Canis lupus familiaris: one gene and its partners. The protein of the gene in region 2 interacts with the protein of the main gene of each other region in a biochemical or structural test. Links are inferred from orthologs where the notes say so. Each region holds a gene or a part of one and is shown on either strand. Other genes may lie near its edges. The genes, in order: MXD1, SIN3A, SMARCA4, ZBTB16, KLF16, MECP2 and SMARCA2.

The links.
Region 1: the proteins of SIN3A (region 2) and MXD1 form a complex in vitro, tested with the Homo sapiens proteins (4 studies listed by BioGRID, with this or other methods). The link is inferred for Canis lupus familiaris from reciprocal best matches to the Homo sapiens genes SIN3A and MXD1.
Region 3: the proteins of SIN3A (region 2) and SMARCA4 form a complex in vitro, tested with the Homo sapiens proteins (2 studies listed by BioGRID). The link is inferred for Canis lupus familiaris from reciprocal best matches to the Homo sapiens genes SIN3A and SMARCA4.
Region 4: the proteins of SIN3A (region 2) and ZBTB16 form a complex in vitro, tested with the Homo sapiens proteins (3 studies listed by BioGRID). The link is inferred for Canis lupus familiaris from reciprocal best matches to the Homo sapiens genes SIN3A and ZBTB16.
Region 5: the proteins of SIN3A (region 2) and KLF16 form a complex in vitro, tested with the Homo sapiens proteins (2 studies listed by BioGRID). The link is inferred for Canis lupus familiaris from reciprocal best matches to the Homo sapiens genes SIN3A and KLF16.
Region 6: the proteins of SIN3A (region 2) and MECP2 form a complex in vitro, tested with the Homo sapiens proteins (2 studies listed by BioGRID). The link is inferred for Canis lupus familiaris from reciprocal best matches to the Homo sapiens genes SIN3A and MECP2.
Region 7: the proteins of SIN3A (region 2) and SMARCA2 form a complex in vitro, tested with the Homo sapiens proteins (2 studies listed by BioGRID). The link is inferred for Canis lupus familiaris from reciprocal best matches to the Homo sapiens genes SIN3A and SMARCA2.

Annotation. Positions count from the first base shown.
Region 1 is NC_049231.1:69,850,593-69,854,562, forward strand, and holds the start of MXD1 (max dimerization protein 1), read left to right. Parts: upstream 1-1,170; 5' UTR 1,171-1,255; coding exon 1,256-1,328; intron 1,329-1,995; coding exon 1,996-2,095; intron 2,096-3,970. UniProt on the Homo sapiens protein: Component of a transcriptional repressor complex together with MAX. In complex with MAX binds to the core DNA sequence 5'-CAC[GA]TG-3'. Antagonizes MYC transcriptional activity by competing with MYC for MAX binding.
Region 2 is NC_049251.1:38,697,407-38,700,906, reverse strand, and holds part of SIN3A (paired amphipathic helix protein Sin3a), read left to right. Parts: coding exon 1-4; intron 5-1,376; coding exon 1,377-1,560; intron 1,561-3,451; coding exon 3,452-3,500. UniProt on the Homo sapiens protein: Acts as a transcriptional repressor. Corepressor for REST. Interacts with MXI1 to repress MYC responsive genes and antagonize MYC oncogenic activities. Also interacts with MXD1-MAX heterodimers to repress transcription by tethering SIN3A to DNA.
Region 3 is NC_049241.1:50,641,208-50,644,707, reverse strand, and holds part of SMARCA4 (transcription activator BRG1), read left to right. Parts: intron 1-1,976; coding exon 1,977-2,103; intron 2,104-2,627; coding exon 2,628-2,801; intron 2,802-3,500. UniProt on the Homo sapiens protein: ATPase involved in transcriptional activation and repression of select genes by chromatin remodeling (alteration of DNA-nucleosome topology).
Region 4 is NC_049226.1:19,302,364-19,306,641, reverse strand, and holds the start of ZBTB16 (zinc finger and BTB domain-containing protein 16), read left to right. Parts: upstream 1-1,478; 5' UTR 1,479-1,628; intron 1,629-2,560; exon of another isoform or gene 2,561-2,839; intron 2,840-4,278. UniProt on the Homo sapiens protein: Acts as a transcriptional repressor. Transcriptional repression may be mediated through recruitment of histone deacetylases to target promoters. May play a role in myeloid maturation and in the development and/or maintenance of other differentiated tissues.
Region 5 is NC_049241.1:57,569,840-57,573,940, reverse strand, and holds the start of KLF16 (Krueppel-like factor 16), read right to left. Parts: upstream 2,801-4,101; 5' UTR 2,721-2,800; coding exon 2,252-2,720; intron 1-2,251. UniProt on the Homo sapiens protein: Transcription factor that binds GC and GT boxes and displaces Sp1 and Sp3 from these sequences. Modulates dopaminergic transmission in the brain.
Region 6 is NC_049260.1:123,060,762-123,064,929, reverse strand, and holds the start of MECP2 (methyl-CpG-binding protein 2), read left to right. Parts: upstream 1-1,368; 5' UTR 1,369-1,621; coding exon 1,622-1,719; intron 1,720-3,308; coding exon 3,309-4,168. UniProt on the Homo sapiens protein: Chromosomal protein that binds to methylated DNA. It can bind specifically to a single methyl-CpG pair. It is not influenced by sequences flanking the methyl-CpGs.
Region 7 is NC_049222.1:91,389,160-91,393,282, forward strand, and holds the start of SMARCA2 (probable global transcription activator SNF2L2), read left to right. Parts: upstream 1-1,323; 5' UTR 1,324-1,484; intron 1,485-2,213; exon of another isoform or gene 2,214-2,349; intron 2,350-3,237; exon of another isoform or gene 3,238-3,370; intron 3,371-3,955; exon of another isoform or gene 3,956-3,976; intron 3,977-4,123. UniProt on the Homo sapiens protein: ATPase involved in transcriptional activation and repression of select genes by chromatin remodeling (alteration of DNA-nucleosome topology).

The DNA of each region.
Region 1 (3,970 bases), on a different chromosome or scaffold from region 2:
TTAACCTACCTAATGGGGTTGCACGGAGGACTAGTGATAATGCACGTGAAACAGTAAAGCTCTTATTTTCATGTATTGGCAACAGTAAACTTTTTTTTTTAAGCTGTATGGAATCTGTCCAAGCTGACCAAGACATTTATTCTTCCTTTTTAAAATGCAGATGTCAGTATATTAACAGGGTAACTTGGGCCTCCAGCCGGCTCTCCTCTCAAAAATCTTGATAGGGCTTAAATCCTTAATTTTTTTAGTTCCATATATTTCTATTGGCACCGCCCCCCCCCCCCACAAACCCCATCCATAGTCTTGAGCAGAGAAAGCTTTTTTTTTTTTTTTTTTTTTTTTTTCTTAAACGTTTTCATCGACAATTAAAAGGGAAGGAAAGACCCTGAACGAGACTGAGGTCAAAGAACGTCGTGATAGGACGCGGGTCATCCCGCAGGTGCAGGGCGCCCGGGGCGGGGGCGGGGGCGGGGGCGCGAGCCACGTGGCGCCCGCGGGGGCCCGGCCCCTCCAGGCCGCCGGCGCCCTCGCTGCGGGGGATGCGCGGCGGCGCCCAGGTCCGCGGCGGCCGGTGAGTCAGCGCCGCGCCCGGGGCAGCCCCGCAGCCGGCGCGGCCCGGGGAGCTCGGGAGCTCGGGAGCTCGGCCGCTCACCGCCTCCCGGGTCCGCCGGGCCGGCGAGGTGACGTCACCGGGGCTGGGCGGTCTCGGCGGCTCCGCCAATGGGAGGCCGGCAAGGCGGCTCGCTGCCCCCGCTCCGGCCAATGGCGGCAAGGCAGAGCGGGGCCGTCGGCGTCGGGCCAATGGGCAGCGGGCAAGGAGCACGAGGCGGAGTCGCGAACCCGGCCGCCAATTGGGAGGAGGGGGCGGAGCCCGGGCCTTGTCAAGCGTGACCAACCAGAGAGAGGAGCGGACCCCAGGGGGCGGGGCCGCGGCGCGTCTCCCCAATCGGGCAAGGCCGGGGGCGGGGCGTTCTTCCGGGCGCCCAATGGGGAGCGCGGCCGGAGCGGGCCTGTCAAGAGCAGGGCCTGGGGGCGGGGGGATGGTGAGTCGGAGATAAACACTCGGCGGCGGTGGCGGCGGCGGCTCTTCCCCGGCTGCTGTCACGGTGTCGGCGGCGCCCAGCGCCCCGGGCCCCTCCCTCCCGGCGAGCGCGGTCGCCCGACAGGCTCTCCCCGCCCTGCTCCGCGGGGCCCGGCGGCGGCGGCGAGCCCGAGCGGTGGGGGTTGGTCCCGCGGCCGCGGCCCCCGGTGCAGAATGGCGGCGGCGGTTCGGATGAACATCCAGATGCTGCTGGAGGCGGCCGACTACCTGGAGCGGCGGGAGAGAGGTGCACGGGGCCGGGGGTCCGCGCCGGGCCGGGGCCGGGGGCTCTGCGGGGCACGGCCGCTGGGGGGGCGGAGGGCGCGACCGCGAGCGCCTCCAACCCTCCGGCTGCCCCACGCGCGGTGCGAGGGGAGGCCGCTCCGCCCGGGGGGGCGGGGGTGCGCGGGGTGCCCGGGGTGCTCGGGGTGCACGGGGTGCTCGGGGTGCACGGGGTGCTCGGGGTGCACGGGGTGCGCTAGGTGCACGGGGTGCTCGGGGTGCCGGGGGTGCGCGGGGTGCCCGGGGTGCTCGGGGTGCGCGGGGTGCCCGGGGTGCTCGGGGTGCCCGGGATGCCGCCCCGCGCAGGGCGCACCAACCTGCGGGACGTCCCCAGCGGGCAGCCCGGGCTCCGCGAGCTGAGCCTCAACAATGAGCAGCTCGCTCGCTCCTTGCACCTGCTCCGGACTGAGGGTGCTCACACAATTTAAGGGAGGAGTTTAAAAAAAAAAAAGAAATCCTTGTTCTAAGAATTCCACCTTGCATCGCTTATTTCTTGACACAGAAATTTCTTTTCATCACATGCTCGTGATGAAAAATAAGGTCTACAAGGAGCTCCTGTGCAGGGGGCTGGGGGGGGGGGGAGTGTTGAAGGTTCCAGGCTCATTCATTAACTGGGTCCTCCGGTTTTCTAGAAGCTGAACATGGTTATGCCTCCATGTTACCCTACAGTAACAAGGACAGAGATGCCTTAAAACGGAGGAACAAATCCAAGAAGAATAACAGCAGTAGCAGGTAATTTCGTAAATCTTTCTCTTTCTCTCTCGGATCACGATACAAACTGCAGAATGGAAGTGGCCTGTGGTGATTATGACCCAGGAAAATGCGTTAAGTGGCGATCAGGATTCAGGAAGGCGCACATGGTCCTAAGCCACTGGAGGAAGCAGCCCTTCTGTTTGGGTTGAGGGGACAGAAAGGAGAAATGGAAAAGCTTTGCGCTTCTTTATGAACTTTTTAAACTTAATTTTTGCTTTTCTTCCCTTTTGGAACAACGACAACAACAACAAAAATCTGTGGAAACTTCCAGTGAGATTGGTAACCGTGACAATATTTTGCCTACAGAAGTTGCAGATTCAGGGCAAGCTTTTTTTTTTTTTTTTTTTTTTTTTTTAAATAATCAAAGAGGCTGGACGTTATCCGTTTCTTTTACTTTTCATAGTGAAGATTGTACAGACACGTTAAAGTATCTGATTTAGCCTTAGGGGTAGGACTTCATATTCGACATGTAAATTAAATGCAATGGTTTATCTCCTCTGTTACATCTACTTATAATGGCAAAGAGGAATGATTGAGGTTGAAACCTCCCTTTTGGTGATGGAGGATTAATATTAAAATATTAATATGCCACGATCCTTTTACGTTTGGCTTATAGTTCTTAAAATCTGTGAATCTCACTGGAAAGCAGGTGGTTAAGGGTCCGTGAAATCACATTAAAGCCCTGAGTACCTATGAGTACTCTATAAATGAGAACTCAATAAACCTACCCCCTTTTTTCCCCCCTCTTTGCCCTTAAAATATAAGTTAGCTAGGAAACCTGTTAGGTCTCTTTACTTATACCTTTCATTCCAGTAAATTAAAGCCCCTCACATTTTCATCACTGGCTTACAATCCTTATTCCTCTCCCGCCGTCATGTATAACTCCCTGCAAGTAACTGTATTTGGTCACCCCCTGTGACGTCACACACACCACTAAAAGCCAGGAGGTCCCACTTAAACCTAAACCCACTTGTTCTTGCTGCTGCTGCTGTTGTCCTTGATTCATCCCATTGTCCTTAGTGTTGCTAGAACCACAGGATGTGAGCAGCACCCATGTGCTGGGCTCTTGCCGAGGAAGGAAGGCACGTGAGGGATGAACCTGGTAATTAACCACCCCACAGTTTTCTCTTTCCCTCCCATCTTCCGCGTTACCTGAAAGTGGTAGCGAATAGATCCGTGTGTGGGTATTAGGGCCTGACTTGTATCCTGCAGTGCTATAAAACAATTTAGCTGTGTTGCATCTTGTTAGTCTTTTTTTTTTTTTTTTTTTTAATTTTTGGAAGAATTTTGAAGCTTGTTGGCGTATTTTTTCCTGAGAAGGTAGCCCAACTGTTGCTTTTATTCCTGTCCGTTCATGGTTTAGGAGGAATTGTCCACCTTACTCGTCAAGGCTTAATCCTCAGCACTTTATTTTTTCCTAAGTTTCGCAGGAAAGTTGGGGGAGGTTCAGTGGTGGGGAGAGGAAGAGCAAAGGGTGTTGAGAGAGAGAAGTAGGCTGGTCCCCGAAGGTGATTAGGAAAGAAAAATAATGATAGCTGAGAATCGCAAGCCACGAAGCAGATTCTCTTTAATATCCAACGTTATTACGGAGAAAATAGCTGTGACTTCTGAGTTTGGGAAGAGCTCTCTTCTGTTAATGGGCTTGGTGTGCTTTCCACGGTTACAGACCAGAGGCTGTCACAGTTTCCCATATTCCTGACTAATAATGAATTAGCGTAGTACCTGCGTGGTGCCGGATCTCCGAGAGGCCGTGATTAAGCCTGGAGATGGCACCAAGCAAACGTGAAGCAAGAGCAGGTTGTTTTGTTTTACTGTGGTCACTTCCTTCATGCCCCGTTGGGAATGACCCTTACC
Region 2 (3,500 bases):
AAAGGTAACTGAATATGTTCTTCGTGCTTTAGTGTGCTTCGTGACAGGTTCGGTGTCCCCTTAAATACGGCCTTCATTTTCAACCTGGTTATTCCATGAGGCCTCTATTTCACCTCAATGCTGGTGGTTGGAAATTAGGTGCAGCATGGGATAGTGGAGCTTCTTGAAGGGTTTCTGTGTAACCAGCAATAGAGAACAAACCTTGAAAGTCCACAGTGGAATGCTCTGTGTGTTTAAGGGAATATTTTAAAATACAGAAAAGAACAGAGCAGAATACAGCCACCCACATTCCTGCCACTCAGTACTAACCATTGTTAACATCTTTGTTTTTTAATAAGAAAAATCTCTTTGTCTTTGTAAAATTGGTGGTTTATTTAAAAAGACTTACTAGCTTGGCATTTTTACCAAGAACATCTTACCTCCTGACAAGCCTTCGGCCTGAGGTGTACAGGGGCTGTTGTACCCACATAAGACCAGGCATCAAGGAGGAGGCCAGACCTAGGGTGAGCCCCAGGCTCCTTTAAGTCCATGGCTCTTTGGACCACATGGAATCCCAGCTAACAGCTGGGTCCTCTTTCAGTTCCACCTGAGACGGGTGGTGCAAACTCTTGTCTGCTGCACAGCTCACAGATGCCCAGATTTTATTGTTCCTCCCCAGACTTTGCTCAAGAGCTGGCACAGGCTTTTTCTCTTCTTGCCATGCCAGCAGCATTTAACTTTGGCTTTGAGACGTAGGATATTCTTCAGTTCTAGTGCTGGTTTTGATTTTACTTTCTTCTACACTTCTAGAGTGTTAAGATCTGTTGTTACCATCAGAAATTCCCAAATTGTGTGCAAAGGAGCATTACTGTGCAAGTTCTTTGCTCTTGGACTTCTGCATTTATATTAGCATAGTGAACATTCTTAGAAGTCCTGCAGCAAAGAGATGTGCTTGTTTTAGCCGGCCAAGAAAGTAAACCCCTTTTTAAGGGTATTGGGTGGAATGATGTTGAGAAATAACTATTCGAGGTAAGATTTCTGACTTTGGGACAAATCACTTCCCCTAAATAAGTCCTGGAGGAGTTATTTCCTCATGTAACAGAGTTCAAGCCTGGATTGAATAACAATATAACAATTTCAGTAACAGTATCCCAAGTTGCCAATAATTTTGACAGACCTGTTATATCTTTTGACTTTTGAAAGAAAGTAAGTCTGACACATTTCCCACTTGGAAACCTTGGAGAGTAGGCGCTGTCATCCCTATTTTCCCAATAAGGAAACAGAGTCTAGTATGGCAGAGCCAGGATTCAAATCCAAAGAGTTTAACTCCCTCCCTTAGAACTCCCACATCCGAATTCCCATGTCTTGTCCTTTCCACACCCCCCACCCCTCACCAGATTGAAGATGAAAGAGGAAGAATGGCGAGAAGCTCAGAGAGGATTTAACAAGGTGTGGAGAGAGCAAAATGAGAAATACTACTTGAAGTCTTTGGACCACCAGGGCATCAACTTTAAACAGAACGACACCAAGGTCCTGAGGTCAAAGAGCTTACTCAACGAGATTGAGAGCATCTATGATGAGGTGAGTGGGAAGTTTCTCTATCTGTGAGAGGACCCCAGTCTTTATGTTCAGCCTGGCTTTGATTCCTGGAAATTATCTTTGTTATATGAAAGAAGACCCTCCGAGACAAGGTGATTCTTGCTTCAAAACTGTCACAGACTTCTATTCCTGATTCTACATTTTAAATCTAAGCCTCACCTTTATTCCTAAACTGCTTTACTAGTTTCCCAGTTTACTATCCTGGCTTTGTCTGTGCCTGCTGCCTCCCTCCTCCACTTGTCTTCCCGTCTGTTTCCCTCAAAATGATACCTTTTCTCATTCACGTAGCTCCTCTCAACTTCCCACAACCAAAACACTTATCATTAATCCCCAGACACTTTCTAATCGTTGTTTATTCAGGATACTTACCAGGAGTGTATATAGTACTGGGAGCCAGGGTACAGAGATGATTAAGAAATTAATCCTGCTTTCTTGGACAAGCTCACAGTCATGGGGTGGGGATAGACACATAAATATAGTATGATTGAGAATTCCTAAAAGTTATGTGATCTTGAGTTTAAAAAAAATGTTTTTAAAAAAAAATAAAAAATAAAAAAATAAAAAAAATAAAAAAAATGTTTTTGGACAGCCCCGGTGGCGCAGCGGTTTAGCGCCGCCTGCAGCCTAGGGCGTGATCCTGGAGACCCGAGATCCAGTCCCATGTCAGGTTCCCTGCATGGAGCCTGCTTCTCCCTCTGCCTGTGTCTCTGCCTGCCTCTCTCTCTCTCTGTCTCTATGAATAAATAAATAAATAATCTTTAAAAATAAAATAAAATAATGTTTTTTATCATGAAAATGTCAAACATATGTGAAAAGGGAGAGAATAGTAAAATGAGCTCTTCTATAAGCTTAAATAAGCATCTCTATTTTGCCAATTGTTTTAAATCTGTCACCTCCCACACCCCTACCCCAGATTCTTCTTCTTCTTCTTCTTTTTTTTTTTTTTTTAAGATTTTATTTATTTATTAATGAGAGACACAGAGAGAGGCAGAGACATTGGTAGAGGGAGAAGTAGGCTCCCCATAGAGAGCCTGATGCGGGACTCGATCCCAGGACCCCAGGATTGCAACCTGAGCCAAAGGCCAGATGCTCAACCACTGAGCTACCCCAGTGGCCCTCACCCAAGATTCTAGACCTCCAGTCGTAGGCCTCTTGTTGTATCCTCCATATCCATAAATACTAATACAGAATTTTATTTTATTTTTTTATTTTTAAAGGTTTTATTTATTTATTCATGAGAAACAGAAAGAGAGAGGCAGAGACACAGAGAGAGAGAGAAGCAGGCTCCATGCAGGGAGCCCGACACGGGACCTGATCCCGGGTCTCCAGGATCATGCCCTGAGCCAAAGGCAGGCAGGCGCTAAACTGCTGAGCCACCCATGCCTCCCCACTAATACAGAATTTTATTTTATTTTTTATTTTATTTTTTTTAAACCTCACACTTCTTTTTTTTTTTTTTTTTTTTTTTTTATGATAGTCACAGAGAGAGAGAGGCAGAGACACAGGCAGAGGGAGAAGCAGGCTCCATGCAGGGAGCCCGATGTGGGACTCGATCCCGGGTCTCCAAGATCACACCCCAGGCCGCAGGCGGCGCCAAACCGCTGCGCCACCGGGGCTGCCCTAATACAGAATTTTAAAAGATAGTCCCAATTTTGTCCAATTGTCCCCAGTAAGTCTTCACAATCTAGAAGAACCACTATTATGGTGTTAAACCACACCTCCCGCATTATCTAGATCTGTTTCTGCAAGTTTCAGATTAGAAAACAGTTGCCACTATGGTTGATAATGGCATGTACTGCTGGTGCCGTCTCGTAGGTCTGTTTGTTGTTGCTGGAGATATGTCATATAATACTTTGCGTCTCTCTCCTATTAGAGGCAAGAGCAGGCTACAGAAGACAATGCTGGTGTACCTATTGGCCCAC
Region 3 (3,500 bases), on a different chromosome or scaffold from region 2:
GAAATCACTAGTTGCTGGCTGCTTTGCCAAGGGCTTCTGGGTGCCAGGTGCTGGGGAAGGTAACTGGGCACACGGTGCACCAGTATCACTCTAGCCCATATGCCTGAGGCACCTCAGGTTCGCCCCCTGAGCACCTTGCCCTCCCCCGTTTCTTCATTGCGTTGATAACTTGTTCAGGGCTGGCCTCCATGCATGAGGGGCTGTGCCTTGTTCACTCCAATCCCCAGGTGTATCAGTAAATCTTTGTCTAATGGCAGTCTCCAAAGTGCCTCGCCCAGCTGGGATGTGCTCTGGAGCTCCAGCTCCATTTGGACAGCTTTAACATGGCCTTTCCAGATGTCTTCCTGTCCCCCATATTTCCCTACCGTCTCTACTCCATGTACCCAACAGCAGCTCATTGGGCCAGACACTGCCACCCCTTGACTGTTTCTCGCCCTCCCTCATCCCCCATGTCCTTATCTCAGGTCCCCTCCCACATCCCAGAAACCAGTGGCCTTCTCCACACTGTGGACCCTGCCACCTGGTCTACACTTCCTAGCTGGCCTCCTTGCTCTCCCCATCTCTTGTGCAGTCTGTTTCCCCCATGGCAGTTTGAAATCTCTTTTTATAATTAACTTCCATTGCATCTGTTCCCTGGGTTCAAATCTGCCTATGGTGTCCCATTGCCCAGCGAGTATGCACCTTTTTGTTTAGCCCCTGCCCAAGGCTCTGTCCTTGCCTACACCACTTGCCCTGTTCCTCTTTTTCTATTGAGCAAGTTAGTCTCATTTCTGCCCCCTGGGTTTTGCACAGGCTGTGCATGACTCCTTGGCTAATTTAGGACCAGTTGTTGAGGTCACCTGGTCATAGAATCCCTGCCCACCCCCCTTACTTCCAGCCCCCCTCTCAGAGTACTCGGTACTCTTTACAATTAATGTAGATATATATATATATATATATATATATATATATATATATATATATATATATAGATATATATATATTTTTTTTTTTTTTTTTAAGACTTTATTTATTCATGAGAGACACAGAGAGAGAGAGAGAGGCAGAGACACAGGCAGAGAGACAAGCAGGCTCCATGCAGGGAGCCCAACGTGGGACTTGATCTGTGGCCTCCAGGATCACACCCTGGGCTGAAGGTGGCACCAAACCGTTGAGCTACCCGGGCTGCCTTAATGTGGATATTTAATTTTTTTTAACTCCTTTCTGGCCTTTCGTGTTGATAGGTCTGTGAGCTTAATAAGAATAACAAATAGCCCTGTTAGTCTTGTTTAGTGCTAAGGCTCAACATCTGGATCAGTCCCTGGCACATAGTAGGTATTTAATAAATACACATGAAACATCAAGAAGGGGGATTATCTCGTTTGAACTTTAGGCCAAGCCTTTAGGGCTGCTCTGTGGGGTCTCCTCAGGCTGAGTAGAGTCCCAGGGCTGGAGTGAAGAGGCTGGTCCACCTGACTCCCTAGCCAGCTCTGGCTGCTGACGGGTCCTAAGGCAGCTGTACCCTATCAGGTTTGGGTTTGCTGTGCCTGCCCTCCACTTTTTGTATTCTGTGTTGTGGCTGGCTTCCTTTTCTGAGGCATTTCCCCTTCTCATGACCAGGATCTGCTTTCCTTGAGGGATGAATTCTCCTGAGGCTCCACCTTTATTTTTTTTTTACTTTATTTATTTATTTATTCATTCATTCATTCATTCATTCATTCATTCATTTATAAAATATTTATTTACTTATTATTTATGATAGACATAGAGAGAGAGAGAGGCAGAGACACAGGAGGAGGGAGAAGCAGGCTCCATGCCAGGAGCCTGACGTGGGACTCGATCCCGGGACTCCAGGATCGCGCCCTGGGCCAAAGGCAGGCACTAAACCACTGAGCCACCCAGGGATCCCCGAGGCTCCACCTTTAAAGGGAACAGGTGGGCTCCCGTGAATAGTCGAGCTCTCATCACCTTTCCTTTCTTCTGTCTTTGCAACCCAGGCTGCAGGCTCGAATCGCCCACCGAATTCAGGAACTTGAAAACCTTCCCGGGTCCCTGGCCGGGGATTTGCGAACCAAAGCGACCATTGAGCTCAAGGCCCTCAGGCTGCTGAACTTCCAGAGGCAGGTGGGCATAGGCTGGAGGAGAAGACCTTTTCTGCCAACATGGATGCTTGGGTTCCAAGAGCTGCTTTCCAGGCAGTTAAATGTGCCTTGACCATTAAAGGCAGCAGTGCCCTCACATCCTTGTTGGCTGGCTGTCCCCTTCTCCCGTCCATATCCTACATGGTGGTGGGATATCAGCTGTTCCCAGGATGAGTAACTCAGGGTCTTCCCTAAGGTACTAGTTGCCAGTTTGAAACAGGAGACTTTAGTGGGTCTTTTTTTGAGGGTTCTGTACCTTTGAATGACCCACTAGAAATATTTTGTGTGTAGTTGACTGGAGGCAAAGTTGGAGACCTGAAGGTAGGAGAGAACCATCTGCTGGGTTTCCAGAAACAGTCATCTGACCCATGCTTGCGCTGTCCATGAGCACTCATCAGACAGCATTTAGAACAGATCCTTCTGGAAGGAGCAGCATTCTGTGTAGCTTGAGCTATGTGATTATGTGTGACTGACAAAGCTGTGCACATCTTTTCTTCCTTCGTGAAGCTACGACAGGAAGTGGTGGTGTGCATGAGGAGGGACACGGCCCTCGAGACGGCCCTCAATGCCAAGGCCTACAAGCGCAGCAAGCGGCAGTCCTTGCGTGAGGCCCGCATCACCGAGAAGCTGGAGAAGCAGCAGAAGATTGAGCAGGAGCGCAAGCGCCGGCAGAAGCACCAGGTGCGTCCCCGCTCAACCATGAGCCCCAGCCCGTGTGCCTGGGTTGCCAGAGCTTGCACGCTGCTGTGTCTTGTTTGGTTTGCATCTAAGTATGCTATCTTCTATTCATCATAACAGTTATTCTAGGCACTGAGAGAATATGTTAGTGGACGTAACCAAATGGCAGTGGGAGGACAGGCCATAATCACATATGCCATGTTGGGAGGTAACAAGGTGTAAGGAGATGTAAAGCAGGGATGGGGAGTGATGGAGGGGCTGTTTACACAGCATGGTTGGGGGAGTTCTCTGAGAAGGCAGCATCTGAGCAGAGACCTGAGGGAGGGAGCCACAAAGACCCAAGGGCAATGAGCTTTGCAGATTGAGGGGAAGCTGCAAAGGCCCTGGTGGCTGGAATGTGCTGTGTGTTCCATGACCAGCAGGGATCCTATTGTGGCTAGAGTGGAGGGAGCCAGTGAGTGAATGGGATGAGGGAAGGACAGAGAGGTGACAGGCAGAGCATCTGGACTGAGGGGACAGTTGCAGCCTTTGCTTTGAGTAAGGTGGGAGCCATTAGTGTGATCTGACTTACCAATTCTAAGGTCAGTCAGGAAGACCAAATATCTACTGGAGTAGGATCCAGGATGATTTGGTTTGTTTGCTCATTTCTATTTCCCAAAGCTCTCCTCTAGTCAGTATCTAGTACTGGTAGAGTTTAAAAAT
Region 4 (4,278 bases), on a different chromosome or scaffold from region 2:
ATAGCTCTGGCTATAAATGGTGCCAGTTTTGGTGGGGGAGCTGCTGCTGCTTTATCTGGGCCCAATAAACCTTATCAAACTGCTGTGCAGCCAGCCTTCAGCGCTAAGTGGAAACGCTTGGAGCCCAATGCTGGCTCTCAGCCCACAGCCTCGCCTGCCTTCCTCCTTTTTGTTACCTTCTCCACCTCTTAAATTCAGGCATTAATCTCTCTTTAACACTTACTAACAAGGGCTGGGCTTTTTAATGGGCAGGGTTTATGAAGCAAGGGGAGATTTTCACATCGAGTGAATATGGCATGGGGGGGGGGGCCCAGGGCCATGGAGGGATTGTTCCTGTTCTCCCATTGTTTCCAAGGCTTCTCTCTTTCTCTGATTTGAGGATTAATAGGAGATTAAGATCAAGGGTTAATTGTGTGCTTCTCCTGCTTCTGCACTTAGGAGGGGCTGGTAGGTGGATGTGGATGGCAGGGCAGCAACCTTCGCACAGGCACCATCTCCGGGCAGAGACTCTACCAAGTTCAAAGATGGTTTCTTCTTTCCCATTGAGGCTCTAGCAGAGTCTTTCTTCTCTTCTTCTATCCCTCTCCTCCTGCTCTCCTGGCCAACCAGTGCTTTCTTAACTTTCTTTAAATGCCTTCCTCTTGAAGATAGCATAGACCTTAGCTAGGTAAACAGTCCATAACCGAGCTGGCTCTCTATTGTTTTTTTTTTTTTTTTAAGATTTTATTTATTTATTCATGAGAGACACACAGAGAGAGGCAGAGACACAGGCAGAGGGAGAAGCAGGCTCCATGCAGGGAGCCCGATGCGGGACTCGATCCCCGGTCTCCAGGATCATGCCCTGGGCTGAAGGCGGCGCTAAACTGCTGAGCTAAACTGCTGAGCCACCCGGGCTGCCCTGGCTCTCTATTGTTAATCAGAATTGATACCCGGGGACCAGACTGTTCCTTCCAGGGATGTGTTAGGTGTTGCTGTGTTCAGGGCTATCAGAGGGTCATTGGCTCCCTCCCTCCACTTTGAAGCGTCCTTCTCTGCCCTCTTCTGTCTTCTGAACAGAAGGCTGAAGCCCTTTCCCCGCTGGGAGACAGGACCATGCTTGCAGGAATGGAGCTGCCTGTCCCTGGGACTATTCCCCCTTTGCCTGTTCTTGTGATCCTGAGCACTTTGCACTCTGGCCTTCCGGGGCCCAGAAGCAGATTTTTGCCTCTAGTTGGTGTCTGCCACCTTCCATGACCCTACAGTTCTTGGGGCCTGACTCTAGATCTGGGGCAGTACCGGAGACAAACACCGTGATTATATGTGAGTCCTGAGCAAATCTTTGACTCACCAGTGTGTCAGGGACAGAATGTGGGGATTCAGGTCTCCCTGAGTGAAGCCCCTGCGAGGCTAAGACCGCATGACCTCCAGGGCTGACTGTCCGGAGACCCAGGGAGGGCGCTCTCCACCACCAGGCTCACCCCAACGATCCCAGACGTTAGCCAGCCACCAAGGCTGATGTTCAAGAGAGAGCTTCCACCTCCTGCCTGCGCCCTACCTCCGCTAAGCTCCAGGGAAAGGGGGTTAGAAGGGGTCTCTCCGCTGCCCACCGCCCGAGGAAGGGTAGTTTCCTCTGGCTTCTCTACCCTGAGGTTAGTGATCTCAACTCCCCCCCCTCCCCTTGGGGTGGAGAGGCCCGCCGAGAGGAAGAGGCTCTTTTGGGGGCTCTGGAGCTTTTTCCAGCTTTCACTCGCCCCCTGAAGGCTTTGCGCTGAGCAGGACGCGGTTCTCGGGATCCGTCTCCAACCAGGTTCCCGGGGTGGGGTGGGGTGGGGTGGGGTGGGGTTAGGGGTGGGAGGGCAAGGAAGGGAGCAGAGCCCAGGGGATGCTCAAGACTCCGGGGAGAGAAAAGTTGCTCTCGGCCTCCCGGGATCCCGGCAGCTAGCACGGGGGAGGGGTCTCCCTTGGGCGGCTGATCCCCGTGGCCCTCCGGCACCAGCTCCCCAGGGCCTGGGAACCGCGCCCGGAGGCGTCTCGCGATCCGGATGCCCGGCGCCTGGAGGCACAGAAGGCCTGGGCTCGGGCCGCGGAAGGGACCTCCGGCCACCGATGTCGCGGTCCCGGGGAGGCGGCCCCGAGCCCGGAGCAAAGTGAAAGGCGAGATGACACACACGGGATTGGGGCAAACACTGGAGCCGGGGACGAAACTCCGCGCCCGGAGGAAAGGAAAAAAGCCTGGGGTGGAAGGTGGGAGCTGCCCCCCCCCCCCCAAGGGTCCCGAGTCCCGGGCACTGCTCTCCGCGAGCTCCCTCCTCCCTCTCCGCCCGGGCGGTGAGCGGTGAGCGGTGAGCGGTGAGCGGTGAGCGCGGCCGCCGGCGCCCCAGCAGCAGCTAGATGTCAGGCGAAGCCCGGAGCGCGGAGCGCGGGGAGGGGAGGGGAGGGGAAGGGAGGGGAGGGGAGGGTGGGGCGGGGAGCGCGCGCGGGCTCGGCCAGTCCGGGGGGGTGGGGTGGGGTGGGCGGGCTGAGGCCGGGGACGGCGCGGGAGGGGGGAGGGAAGGGGGGCCGCTGTGGGCAGCGCGCCGGGCTCGGCCGCCAGCACTAAAGATGGAGAGGCGCCGGGGCCTCGCAGGGGAGGGGGCTCGGCGTTGACGTGGGACGCGGCGGAGGCGCCGCAGCCGGTGGTGATTTGCTAACCTCGCAGCAGAGAGGAGTTGAGGGCGATGAGAGCGGGTACTGCGAACTGCCGGGCGCTGCCGCCGCTGCCGCCGTGAGACGAGAGCAACAGTTCCCAGCAACAGCCGTCCCCGACGCGGCACACGCCCCCGAGCGCGCACACCCACCCGCGGCGCCCGGCTCGGCGGCGGTGAGTGAGGGCCGGCGGGGGCGCACCGCTCGCCGGGGGCGCGCGCCGGGGCGCCCCGGGGCCGGCGAGGTCGGGGGGCGCGCTCCCTCCGGCCGCTCGGCCGCGGGCTGTGCGCCTCGCTCGGCTCGTTCCCTTCCTGCTGCGGCCGCCGCGGGCTGGGGGTCGGCTGCGGGGGGGCCCGGCTGTCAGCTTGGGCGCAGCTGCCTCCCCAGGGCGGGAGGTGGGGGCCGAGCGGCCCGCGGGCGCGGAGGGCGCGGGCGGAGGGTCGGAGAGCCGGAGGCTTTGTACCCGCGGGGCGGCGGGGCGGCGGGAGCCGGAGCCGGAGCCGGAGCCCGAGCCCGAGCCGGAGCCCGAGCCCGAGCCGGAGCCGGAGCCGGCGGGCGCTCCCCGGTACGCGGCCCGTGCGCGGGCGCGCAGGGTTGTGGTCTGTTTGTGTTTATTTGCCGGCCGGCGGCGAGGCTAGAATCCGGGGCTCCGAGGAGCGGACCTGGGGGCGGAGGGGAGCGGGGCTCCGATCCACTTGGGCTTGCTTTCTCTTTGAAAAACGTGGTGGGGTCTGTTTTCCTCCGGACGGGGCTTGACCCCCACCCGTCTCCGGGGCGGGGGAGGGGCGGCCGTGGCGGGGCTCCGGAGGGTCTTCGGGGCTCTCGGCGGGGCCGGCCGTGGCGCGGGCGCTGGCGGTGCGCTCCGGGCGGCGCTCGGGGGTGCCCGGGCTCTGCACCTGATGCGTCGGGACGCGTCCCCCAGGCCGGGCGCCCGCAGCTCCCCGCGCGGCCCCCCGAAGGCTCCCGCACGCGCTCGAGGTGCGCTCGGCGGCGCCCCCGGACCCCTGGCGCGCACGGACGCGCCCGCAGCGGTGCCCTCGCGCTCCCCGGGGCGCTCGCCCAGTGCCGCGCCGGGCAGCCTGCCCGCGGCCGCCGGGGGTCACGGCCCTGGGCCGGCGAGGGAGGGCCGGCGGCTCCCTGCTCGCCTTTCCTTCCCCGAGTCGCTGTCGGGCTTTTGTGCTTCCCCCGGCGCGGGGCGGGTCCGCCTCCTCGCGCCCGCTCGCGCCCAGCGTCCAGCCCGCCCGGACTCTGCCTCGCGCCCGGCTCCCTTCGCTTCTCCTCTCGCCCAACGCGGCTCCTTTTCTTCCTGCGGTCTGGCTCCCCGGGAAAAGTTGCTTCCCCAAGTTTGCCGAACTCGCTTCCAAGTCTCCGTGGGGGCGGCTGGGACTGGGGTGCGCGCGCGCGAGGTCGATCCCCAGAGCCGGAGCGGGTCGGCGCCGGCGTCCCCCCGCCCGCGGGGCCGGGCGCTGCAGCCGAGGGGGGTGTCTGGGTGAGCCGAGGGTGTCCCGCGGGACCCAGGGCGCCCGCACCGCGGAGGGACTTCGGGGGGCCCGGCTTCCATTCCTTCTGTGGCCCCTCCTCGTTCCCCGCAGCCCCTCGGGCTGACGGCAAGCG
Region 5 (4,101 bases), on a different chromosome or scaffold from region 2:
TGGCCAGGCCCTGCTCCACGCCTCGGTCTGCTCCTCTGTAGAACGGGGCGAGGCTGGACAGGTTCCCTTCACAAAGAGGGGTCCTCAGGCAAGAAGGGAAGGCAGGGCGCTCTCCCCAGGGCCCTCTGCGGGTGACCCAGCTGACCTCAGGTCACCGTTCCTCATCAATCTGTCGCCAGGCCCGTCCCTGGCAGTGGGCTGCACCACGCTGGCCTTGGGACGTGGCGCCCAGCCGGGCAGAAGGGCACCGTCCCCTCTACCAGGACCAAAAACGCCGAAAAGGGCCTTTAGGCCTCATAGCCCTGGGGGTGGCGGAGACGCTGAGCGCACGGTCTCAAGAACACGGGTGCCTGGAACCCTCGGGAAAGAGCGCCCAGGGCGCCCACGTCAGGACTTCCAACCTCCCTGGCAGCAGCCGGCCGGGAGCTGCGCCCTCTGGGTTCCCCCGCCACAGCACAAAGGGGGCTCACACACAGGACCCCAGAGCCACGGCTCCCCGGGGACTAGGGACCCAGCAGGGATGGCGCCCCCCCGGACACCCCCGGCCCGGCTGAAGAACCTCAATTCCTCATTTAAAACATGAGCGGCAACGTGGAGAGAGGCGCCCCCACTGCTGGACCCACAAGGGTCCGCAGGATTCAGGGACACCCCGCAGAAACGCCTCCCGGGATTCGAGCTGGGAGGTGGCCTGGCCGCCCCCTTCTGCCCACCAGAAACTTGGACAGGACCCAGAAGAGGGAAAAACAAATCATGACACCGGGGGTGGGGTGGGGGGTGGTGGTGGTGGGGGTCGGGGGGGTGGCTCACCATCCGACAACTAGCGAGGACTGGTGACAGGACAGATGCGGGACGACAGGAGGGTTGCGGTCCCTCTCCGGCCAGCCTCCCACCGCGGCACCCCTGCACTCAGACGGGCCAGCGGGGCCCTGCTCAGACCCCAGTGCCCCCCCTCCCAGGAAGGAATATCTCCCCCGAGCCCCAGAGAGAGCCCCCCCCCATCTCAGGGACTCCAGACATCCTTCCCACAGACACACACACCTCACTGCGGCTCAGGGAAGACGGGGGCTCCAGGAGGACACGGTGATGCCACCCCACGTCGGCCCTGGCTGTGCTGCCCTCTCGTGTGTCCACAAGTGGGGCAGAGCATCTAGGCCCCGTGGACAGGGATGAGGGTAGCCCAGGAGACAGGCGCGCAGCCCGAGGTTGCCTGCCTGGCATGGGAGGCCGTGCAAGGGGCCTGGGGCTGCCCAGGCTGCGTCCCCACCACACCCTAGGGCCAGCCTGCTTTCTTGAACCCTCTATACAGCTGGAGCATCCACAGCACCAGGGCTGCTCACGACCCCCGCAGCCACCCTCGGAAGGCAGAGCCCACACACCCTTTACACAGATGAAAACACTGAGGCCCGCAGTTGGTCACGGGCCTGGAAGCGGCAGAGCTGGAACCCGAGTGCATCCTCCCAGCCCGTGCCCAGACGCCCACCCCTGCTCCCCTGCCCTTCCCGGAGGGCAGGACCCCCCTCAATCCTCGCGCCCTGGCCAGGCACCGAGGCCCACCTTCCCCGAGCCCCCACCCAAACCCTCAGGGTGCACGATGGGGCACCCGCAGGAGAACAAGGAGGATGACAAGGGTCGCTGAATCCTCCCTGCCACCTACCGCGAGGACCTGACTCCCTGGAGGCCGCCCCCCCCCCCGCCCCGGCGCGCACTCCCAGCCCCGCCCCCCGCCTTATTAAAAACAAGAATCGCGGGGAGCGCCCCCAGCCCGGCCCCCGCTCCAGGCGCTCTGCTGCCTGCCGGGGCGGATCCTCGCTGCCACCCCGGAGGCGGCCTCGCGGCTCCTCCCCCGCTCCACGGACGGGGAAACCGAGGCAGGGGCCGGGAGACGGCGCAACCCGCGAGCTGCGCGCCCCCGCCGCGGTGTCCCCTCCGCAGACACGAACGCGCCAGGACAGAAGAGAGAAACGGGGACGCGGGGGAGGGGACGGCCCGGCGCCCCGGGGCCGCCCACGGACCCCGCCGCGCCGCGCGCCCCGCGGCCCCACCGTCCCGCCCGCCAACCGCGCGCCGCCCGACCGCGTGGCCGCCACGCCCCCTGCGCGCGCCCCACCCACCGAGGCCCCGCCCTCCCGGCGGCGCGGCGGCGGCCCGGGCGCGCCCCCCTCCCCGCCCCCCACGCGCCACGCAGTTTGGGGGTCCCGGAGGGGGCGGGGCGCGGGGGGCCGCGCGCGCGGGCCGGGGCGCCGGGGCTCACCTGTGTGCGTCCGCAGGTGCGACTTGAGGTGCGAGGACTTGTAGTACGCCTTGGCGCAGCCCGGGAAGGGGCAGCGGTGGCTCTTGGCGGCGGCGGGCGCGGCGCCGGGGGCGCGGCCAGAGGACGGGGACGAGGCGGCCGAGGACGAGGAGGCGGGCGAGGCGCCCCCCGGGGCGGCGCCGGGCCCGCTGCGCAGGTCGGCCAGGATGCTGGCGGCCAGCAGGTGGGGCGCGGCGGCGGCGGCGGCGGCGGCGGCGGCGGGGCCCGGGCCGGAGGCGGCGGGGGGCGGCGGCGGCGGGCCCGGGGGCCCGGGCGGGGCGGCCTCGCGGCGCGGCGCGCGCACCTCCAAGCCGGCGGCGGGGCCCGCGCCCTCGGGGCCCGGCCGCCCGCGGTGCACCACGGCGCCCGAGGAGATGGCCATGAGCACGTCGGCAGCGAAGTAATCCACGCACGCCACGGCCGCCGACATGCCGGGCAAGGGCGCGCGGCGCGGGCGAGCGGGCAGAGAGGAGGCGGCGGGAGCGGTGCCCGTCCGGCCGGCGGCGGCTGCTCGAGTGCGGGAGGCGGAGGAGGAGGAGGAGGAGGAGGAGGCCGGCGCGCGCCGCCGCCGCCGCCGCCCGCGCTCGGCCCGCCCCGCCCCGCCTGACGCGCCCTGACGCACCGGAGCCCGCGGGGGCGGCCGCGGCCCGCCCCGCCCGGAGGACGCCCCCTCGGGGCGCACGGCCACGCCCCCCGCCCGGCGCGCCCTCCGCCGCCCTGCCCGCCGCGCGCGGCCGCCGGGGGCGGGATCTGGGCCGCAGGAGCCGCCCCCGTCGCGCCCACTCCGCCCGGAGCGCGTCCCCGCCTGCTTCCCGGAGCGCGCCCTCCCCACGCGGGGCCCCCAGCCCGAGACCCCGCCTTTGGGGCCTGCGGCGCGCGCCCCCGTGGGCTCCTCGGAGCACCCCCTCCCCACGCCGGCAAGCTCCGCCCGTGCCCGGTGCGCCCCTCCCTCCCGGGCGCGCCCCGCCCCTCCCGGCACGCCCCTCCCGCCCTCCCGGCGCGGCCCTCCCTTCTCGGCGCCGCCCCGCCCCCTCGCGGGCGCGCCCACCCCACGCCAGGGCGCGCGGCCGGCGGGAGCCCGCCCCTTCCCCGGACGCTTCCACCCTGGCCCGGGGCGCGCCCCCGCTCTGGATGGGGGAGGGCTCCGCGCCCCACGTGGCCGGGTGGGGGTGCGGAAGCGGCCAGCCCCGCCCCCCGGCCACGTGCGCGACCCTTCCCCCTCTCCTCTCCCCGGCCCCGGGCCCTGCCTGGCCGCGCGCCCCTTGCCCCCTCGCCCCCTCGCCCCCGTCTGCGGGAGCCCCGTGCGCCTCCCCGGAGCCCGCGGCTGGGCCCGAGAGGACTGGGGCGCCCCGCCCAGCCGGCGCCGGAGAACCTGCGCTCGTTCCTCTTCCTGCGCCCCCTTGGGGGTCATTTGTGCGCACCCCCCGAGGAGTAGGGGGGGCCGGTGTCGGCCGGAGGCGGAGCGGGGCCCGGGGGTCGGGGCGAGGAGCGGGTGGGGTCGGGGCGCCTCGGCGAGGCGGAGCCTTCCGGCCCTGCCCAGGACCCGGCGCTGGGGACATCGCGCCCCGCCGCCTGGACTCGGGAGGCCCTGGGGACGTCCGGGCCGGGTGGTTCAGTGGCGAGGGCGCCGACGGCCGGGGCGGCCAAGCCCGCCGTGGGGGGCGGGGGTCACGCGGAAGTGGGACGACAGAGTGGCCCTCTCCGCGGCGACCGCGGCCCCGCCCCTTCCTAGGCCGCCGGTGGGGGCCGGGCGGTGGCGGGCGGCCTCCCGGGAGGGGAGCGGGAGCGGAGCTGCCTCTGCGTGCCTGCGG
Region 6 (4,168 bases), on a different chromosome or scaffold from region 2:
TCCTGATACTAACCCACCTTTGGCAGCTTACTGACATCATTTGAGTCTGGTTTCCAGTACATACCACAGTGCCTCCATTGGAGTCTCCACAGTGTGAACAAGGGGGTTGCTTGGGGTAGACTGGCCATGAGGCAGTGACCAGTGCTGACACGAGCCACATGGGACAGGGCAGCTCTAGGGCTTAGATATCAAGGGCAGGAATAGTCTCATTCTCTTCTAGACTGAATTGCTGAGAGACCAGCAGATGGCTGGTTCCAAGCCTCCCCAGCGTGGGTGGTGTTCCTGCCCTCTTAGCCCTGCTTTAAGAACACCACGGGCGGACTGATTCCAGGGTCCAGGGCCTTTCCAGTGCACACAAGGAAGGGACCCTACCAGGTGGAGCCAAAATAGCAGGAAGGAGCTGCTCTGTCAGTGTGAAAGCATAAGGAGGTGCCCACCCTGGAGTGGGGAGGGTGCTCTTCTGTGCCTTTGTCCTTGCTCTCCCCTTCTACTGGTTGAGTGTAAGGCAGTCATGGCTTGTAAAGGAATGTCTGATAATAAAAGTTTAGCAGACCTGGGGTGCCTTCTCCTCACTCCAGAACCCTGGGCAGCAGTTTCTGGTTGCCCGAGTTGGCTAGTGTTTATATGGTGCTTTTGTGACTTTTCTTCCTCTGGGGTGTTGGTGCCTATTACCAAGATGAGGAAACTAAGGCACGGAATGTTGAGGTCACTTGCTCAGGTCCATGTTTAGAAGTTGCCAAGTCAGAATTTGAGCTCAGGTTGGGCTGGCTCCAAACCTGTGTGTTTTCTCCACAGCACTGTGCTGTGCCTTATCTCCCAAGGGGGTAGTGCTAGGCTCTGCCACCATCAGTAAGTTGCATCGTGCTCCCTGACTGTTTTATCAAGCACACATTTGAGAAAACTTACAATACAGAAGCTATACTAACACCCAAGCCAGGTCTTTCGTGAAGAGGAGCCCTGGCCACATTTTGGGTGGGCAGCTCCCTCTCCAGTAGTCAAGGGCCTCTTGTCAGCCATGAAGTCTAGAGACTGTTGGGCACAGCTTGTAAAGTGGCCTCTTCCGAGGCAGTACACTGAGAAGCCACCTAGTGTTTCTACCCAGAAAAATGCCGCTCATTCTCCTGCTTGTTAGGAGTGGGACTTGGGACAGAAGGACTCAGAGTGGTCACAGTGCAGGTAGGGTAAAGCCCAAAGCCCCCAAAGAAATCTTTGAAGGAGAAAGGCATCAGGATCTGGGTGAGCATCGGTGGGGCAGCCCTGTCTCTCAGAGCCCTGCCTGTGCTGGGGTGCCCCAAACCCGCCATTGCTTACTTTTTCTACAAATCGGTGTGTTCCCTGTGATACTTACATACTTATTTAACACTTCAGGGAAGAAAAGTCAGAAGACCAGGATCTCCAGGGCCTCAAGGACAAACCCCTGAAATTTAAAAAGGTGAAGAAAGAGAAGAAAGAAGACAAAGAGGGCAAGCATGAGCCCCTGCAGCCACCGGCTCACCACTCTGCTGAACCAGCAGAGGCAGGCAAAGCGGAGACCTCAGAAGGGTCAGGCTCAGCCCCAGCTGTCCCGGAAGCTTCTGCCTCCCCCAAACAGCGACGCTCTATCATTCGTGACCGGGGACCCATGTATGACGACCCCACTCTGCCTGAAGGTTGGACCCGAAAGCTTAAACAAAGGAAATCTGGCCGCTCCGCTGGGAAGTATGATGTGTATTTGATCAAGTAAGTAAGGGCAACTCCTGTCTCTACAAAGCAGGGAAGGCTGGGTGGGCAGGAGGCTGGGGCCAGGTGCTGAGAAACTAATGGGGATCCCTTAGAGTGGCAGCTCTTTTTTTACTCGATGATCAGGAAAATGTGTGTATATCACCCATCTTGGGCTGGGGGTGGCTTCAATAATGAACACCACTTGCAGACCCCTCCAGGTATGTTTCAAATGACTGTGTACAGAGTTCACCGCCCTGAGTGTGACTTTACCCCACCAGCCCTTGAGGTCTTGTCTGGAGATGGCATCGCAGTAGGGCCTACCCAGGGCCACAGTGAGGACACAAGAAAGAGAGGTCGCCTGAGAAACATTGAGGACACAAGGCCCTGCCCAGGCTGGTCCCAGAGGCCACAGGACCTGCCATGTGTAGTGGCCTGTGCTTGGAAGGCAAGCAGGGCTCTCTGGGTTCCTCTCATTTCCCAGCTGGGAAACATCCAGCTGATGGGCTCTTCTCAGAACCTGTTAAACAACTCTTCTTTCTGTCAGTCATTCCGTGACTTGGCTGCATGACCCAGAAGAAGTAGGAGTTCAGAGGGCTCAGTCTACTCTCTGAATCATGTTGGGAAAGGTGAGCTCTCTGACAGGGCCTCTGGGGACACATTGGTGTCTCTTCATGTGCCTTTCCAACTGTCATTGGTGCATTTGTCCAGCTTTGAGCTGGTCATTGGGCATTTTCTATTGAAACAGTGTAATTCAGGGATCCCTGGGTGGCGCAGCGGTTTGGCGCCTGCCTTTGGCAGAGGGCGCGATCTTGGAGACCCGGGATCGAATCCCACGTTGGGCTCTCAGTGCATGGAGCCTGCTTCTCCCTCTGCCTATGTCTCTGCCTCTCTCTCTCTCTCTGTGTGACTATCATAAATAAATAAAAATTTAAAAAAAAAAAAAAAAAAAAAAAAAAAAAAGAAACAGTGTAATTCCCAAGCCAGAGCTTCAGAGAAGGACTGAATAAATACATTTCAGTTCTGGCCCTTAGATGATCCAGAAAAGATAAACAGTTTATTTGCAGACATCCTCATTTGATCGCAACAACTCTGAGAAGGGTGAACAAAAAGCATTATCCTACTGACAGATGAGGAAACCGATCCCAGAGAGGCTAAGCAGCATGCCCAGGTTCAGACAGAGAGGAGTGCTTTACTTACTGACTGGGCCCAGGCACCAACCAGCAGAATGCCTGCCCCTCAGCCTTCTGGCTCAAGCGGGTCTCCAGGCCAGGCCCCTTTGGGAGCCAGAGGAGGGGCCTTGGTGGTAGGCGGATCCTCAGGGGCAATAGCTGCAGAGCAGCTGACACCCAGCTGTTCTTGTCACTGGAGCACACCCTGTGGGTGCTCTCCGCCGCCCAGCAACCCAGTTGCTTTGTGTGTGACCATGCCCCTCTAATTTCAGCCCATTTTGGCTTTTCTCTAATGTGACTCTCATTGAATAGTATCATCAGGCAGGTCAATTGCAGAACGTCCTGTCACAGAATTCAGCACATTCTTCCTGCCCCATCTTTGTACATTAGCGGGGAAGCTTCTAATCGTTCTTTGTGTCTCTCCATTTGTTCCCACAGTCCCCAGGGAAAAGCCTTTCGCTCTAAAGTGGAGTTGATTGCGTACTTCGAAAAGGTAGGCGACACCTCCCTGGACCCTAATGATTTTGACTTCACGGTAACTGGGAGAGGGAGCCCCTCCCGGCGAGAGCAGAAACCACCTAAGAAGCCCAAATCTCCCAAAGCTCCAGGAACTGGCAGAGGTCGGGGACGCCCCAAAGGGAGCGGCACTGCGAGACCCAAGGCAGCAACATCAGAGGGTGTGCAGGTGAAAAGGGTCCTGGAGAAAAGTCCCGGGAAGCTGCTCGTCAAGATGCCTTTTCAAGCTTCGCCCGGGAGCAAGGCTGAAGGGGGCGGGGCCACCACGTCAGCCCAGGTCATGGTTATCAAACGCCCAGGCCGGAAGCGAAAAGCCGAGGCTGACCCCCAGGCCATTCCCAAGAAGCGGGGCCGAAAGCCAGGCAGTGTGGTGGCAGCTGCCGCCGCAGAGGCCAAAAAGAAAGCCGTGAAGGAGTCTTCCATCCGGTCCGTGCAGGAGACTGTGCTCCCCATCAAGAAGCGCAAGACTCGGGAGACGGTCAGCATTGAGGTGAAGGAGGTGGTGAAGCCCCTGCTGGTGTCCACCCTCGGCGAGAAGAGTGGAAAGGGACTGAAGACCTGCAAGAGCCCCGGACGGAAAAGCAAGGAGAGCAGCCCGAAGGGGCGCAGCAGCAGCGCCTCCTCACCCCCCAAGAAGGAGCACCACCACCATCACCACCACTCAGAGCCCCCGAAGGCACCCGCGCCGCTGCTTCCGCCCCCGCCCCCTCCCCCACCTGAGCCCCAGAGCTCCGAGGACCCCGCCAGCCCCCCTGAGCCCCAGGACTTGAGCAGCGGCGTCT
Region 7 (4,123 bases), on a different chromosome or scaffold from region 2:
AAATAATAGGCCCCTGATTTAAAATCTCCTAACATTCTTTCACACTTCATAAAACTAAAAATAAAATTCGTCTCAGCAAACACTGACCTATTCCGCCAGCCAAAGAACTGTATTTCAAGGAGAATTGGAACAAGAGGTCTCCAAACTGCCAAGTGCCAGCAGTTTACTGTTTGTAGCCTTAATCGGTCTGCAACGTGAGGTGGGAGAGGACAGACTGTGGGCTGCCCAGGATAAGAGATTTAGTCCCTTTCTTAAATCAAAAGCAGATTCCACGCTTCAGCTGTCCCCTCACCCGCTCGCCCCGCCCCCACGGGGTTGTTTTTCCCTATCTATGTCTTCCTTGTATGCATTTTATTCGAAGATGACAGGTGAGGGAAGCTTCACGTGCCGCATCTGGTCCGCAAAGTAAACAGAGGGGTTAGGGTGGGCTTATTTATTTACAAGGCATTCAGCCTCTCAGCTGTTTTTCCCTCGTTGGCATTTGGAAGCTTGCCGTCCTTTAGAAAAGAGACAGATTTGGCAGGAATGTTCTTTGTGCCCGCCTCCCTTTTTTACGGGGGAGAAAGGGGACAGATTTATAATTACAACCTTGGGTGGGGGGGGGAGGTAACGGGGAGGGGGGTGGCGTAGAAAAAGTTTCAGCCGGCACGACAATGCCTGCTTTTTTTTTTTTTTTTTTTTTCTCTTCTTCTTCTTTTTCTTTCACGGTCCACACTGTGCAGTGCACTAACAGCTCCGGTGCCACTCGGAGCCCTCCCCCGGTCCCCTCCCCTCTTCCCTCTGCAGGCGCGCTCCGGCAGGCGGAGGCACAGTTAAATTCCAGCACCTTCTCCACCTACCCCCAAACTACTACGCGCTATTACTACGGCCGCCCTCCCCACCCCCCACCGCGCGTCGGGGTGGCGGGGCGGGGGTGGGGGGCGCCCGGCGACGTCCCTTCCAAAGCTCCCCCCTCCCGCCCCGAGGTCGACCGCCGGGAGAGGGATGTCGGACGCCCAAGTCCTGCGGGGCTCGCGGCGAGCTCTGCGTCCTGCGCAGTTTCTCCGCTCCAGGCACCAGCACGGCCCGGGAGCCGGCGCCGCGCAGACACACACACACACACACACACACACACACACACACACACGGATCCACGCATACAGTAGAGCCGTCTCGGTGCACATTCTTGCACACCGCCCCCTCCTCCGCCCCCCCCGCCCCGAGCTCCCGGAGTCGCTGAGCGGGCCGAGTGACAGGCGCGTCCCGCCAACCCGCGCCCGGGCGGGCAGGGAGGAGCGGCGCGCGGGGCCAACTGCGGCGCGTCTTCCGGCGCCCGTGGAGGCGGCGAGGGTGGGACGCGGGGCGGAGCCCGACTTTAGGAAGAGGAGGGGATGGCTGTCATCAATGAAGTCATATTCATAATCTAGTCCTCTCTCCCTCTGTTTCTGTACTCTGGGTGACTCAGAGAGGGAAGAGATTCAGCCAGCATACTCCTCGCGAGCAAGGTAAATATAACTTACAACTCCTTTCTCCTCTCCCCCCCCCCCCCCGCCCATCCCTCCCTCCCTCCGGCCTCCGGGGCTGCAGCCGCCGCGCAAACCCCTCCGGCACCGCGCCGCCTTCGCCGGGGAGTCTTCATTATTATCCTAATTATTATTTATTGTGCATGCACGGAGACCAAAACAAACAGGCGGGCCAACCGCCGCCACCGCCACCACCACCACCACAACAAAAAAGCCCGCCTCCTCCCCGCGGGCCTCAGGTGGAATGCTCTAACGACAGCTCCCGGGCGGCCGTGGAAGAAACGGGAAAGTTTCAACCGAACCTTGCTGTTCTAATAATAACAGTAATAATTACTACTTCGGGGAGGCGAGGGGCGGGTGGGGGGGATCCCGACACAGCACAGCCTTGACCCCAGGTAGGCAGTCAGCGATGCGCTCGCTGCCAACTCAAGGTTGCAACACACACACACACACACACACACACACACACACTCCGCAAGGTTGCAATCCCCCCCCCCCCATCCCCTCGAGGCTGGGGTAGGGCGCCGGCTGGAGGACCCGGGAGGAGGATGGAAAGGCGACAGTTCACCCCGAGCCGTCCTCCCCGGAAGAGTTGGAAGGGGCGCGGGAGAGGAGGGCGAGGAGCCCGGGCTGGCGGCGGGGCGCCAACGATCGCGGCTGCCACCCGCCTCCCGGGGACTTGTTTAAAGGGCTCCGGTTGCCGAGACGCGAGCCGATCGCGGCGGGAGGAGCCGAGGCTGGCGCGCCCGGGAGGCGGCAGCCACCGCCGCGGGGCCGGTGCGTGCAGGATCGGAGGTGTCACCTCCACTTTGCGCGTTCCCTCGGGCGGGGAGGAGGACGCTGACCGGTAGGCAGGCCCTTTTTAGGCAGAGGGGTTCCCGGGGCGCTGCGCCCGGGGCTCTGCGGACGTGCCCGCCTCTGGTACCTGGTACCTGGCGGCCGCGCGGGCTCGGCTGTTGAAGTTCGGGGTGTCCGGCCCGGGCCGCGCCGCCGGCGGGGAGGGAGGAGGCCCCAGGGAAGGAGGTCGGAGGTGCCCGCCGGGCTCGGTTGCGCTGCCCTCCCCCTTCCCCGGGTTTGTTTTCGTTGGCTCGGCGTCTTTCCCCCCAGCCTGAGCCGCGGGAACCTCGGGCGTGGGTCGCCCGCGATCGTCGGGGTGCTAGGGGCTCGCCGGGGCCCGGGAGAGCCACGGCGGCCGCGGGCCGGGAGGCCATGATCCGGATAATCCTCTCTGCCTGACTGTCACAAACAGGACCCGCGCGCACCCGGCCAGCAGTGGTGGCGTTCGCCGGAGAAGGGGAAGGGCTGCGAGGGGGTGGGGGGTGGGGGGTGGGGGGAGGAGGAGGGCGGGGGTGGGGAGGGCGGGAGGCGGGGAGACCGGGTGGGAGCCTCCTCCCCACGATGACACGCACCCCTTCCTTCTCGCTCCCTGCTTTCGAGTTTGCTTTATTCCCATCCCAACCTGATTTACCCCTTCCTCTGCTCTCCCCCTCCATCCGGCCGTCTTCCCTCCTCCCGTTTGCGTTGCAAAACAGGGCCATGCCATCTGCAAAGGTGTCGCGATGCACTTCCCCAAATAACCGGTCCGGCGTGCCCGTCCCCAGGCGCCCTCCGGCTGCGGGCGCACCCCGAGCCCGGTGCTCCGGGTGCCCCGCACCAGGCCTCGCAGCCTGGGCGCAGTTGCAGCGCGCGGGGCGGGGCGCAGCAGTGCGGGCTCCCGGGGACACCCGTGCCCTGGCCCCGGCGCCCGGCCGGTTTCCGGTACACGCGGGGAAATCGCCTCCTGCCAGCGTCTTCGCGCGCGCCCCTGCCTCCGCCGCCTGGATTGCATTATTATTTTTATCCGGGTTGCAGCTTTGCGGCGGATCCTGGTGAGCGCAGGGCAGGCCGGCCTGCTGGGGGTGGGGGCTGGGGTGGGGAGGGAGGGAAGTTGGACGTGGATCAGGCAGGAAAAAAAAAAAAAAAAAAAAAGTTTGGCAGGGCGGCTAAGTAGGGAGGGGGTGGGAGGGGGCGGCGAGCTCCCGCGGCTCGCGCCTCCGCGCCCTCGGGGCCGGCCGAGTGTGTCTGCGCGTGAGTGTGCGTGTGTGCTGCGCGCGGGGCCGGGCCGGTGCCCCCGTCGCGGGTAGGGGCGCGGGCGGCCGCGGGGAGCCCGGGGAGCGCCAGGCGAGGTTCGGCGGCGGGGGCGGGCGGGGGTGGCGTGCGCGTGTGCCTGCGAGTGTGAGTGTGAGTGTGCGCGCGCGAGCGGCAGAGAATCAGGAAGTCACAGCGGCGAAGCGCACACAGACATGTTTGATCGCCGTGACATGACGCGCGCGAGGGAGGAAGCGGCGGCGGCGGCGGCGGCGGCGGCGGCGGCGGCGGGGGCCGGGCCGCGGGCTCGGGCGCGGGCCTAGGGCTCGGGCCGGGAGCCCCCTCGGGCCGTGCGGCCGCCGCAGGCTCAGCGAGCCCCGCGCCTCTTTTTGTTCCGCGTCCCCCAGGTAAGGAGCCTGCGCCGGCGCCGCCCGCCGAGCGCGGAGCTTGCCAGCGCTCTCCCTGCCGGCCCCCGCCGGGCTCCCGGCTCGCCTTTCCTGCAAAGTCAGGCCGGCGGGGGCAGCGGGCTCCTCGCCCTGCGATCGATCGCGTGG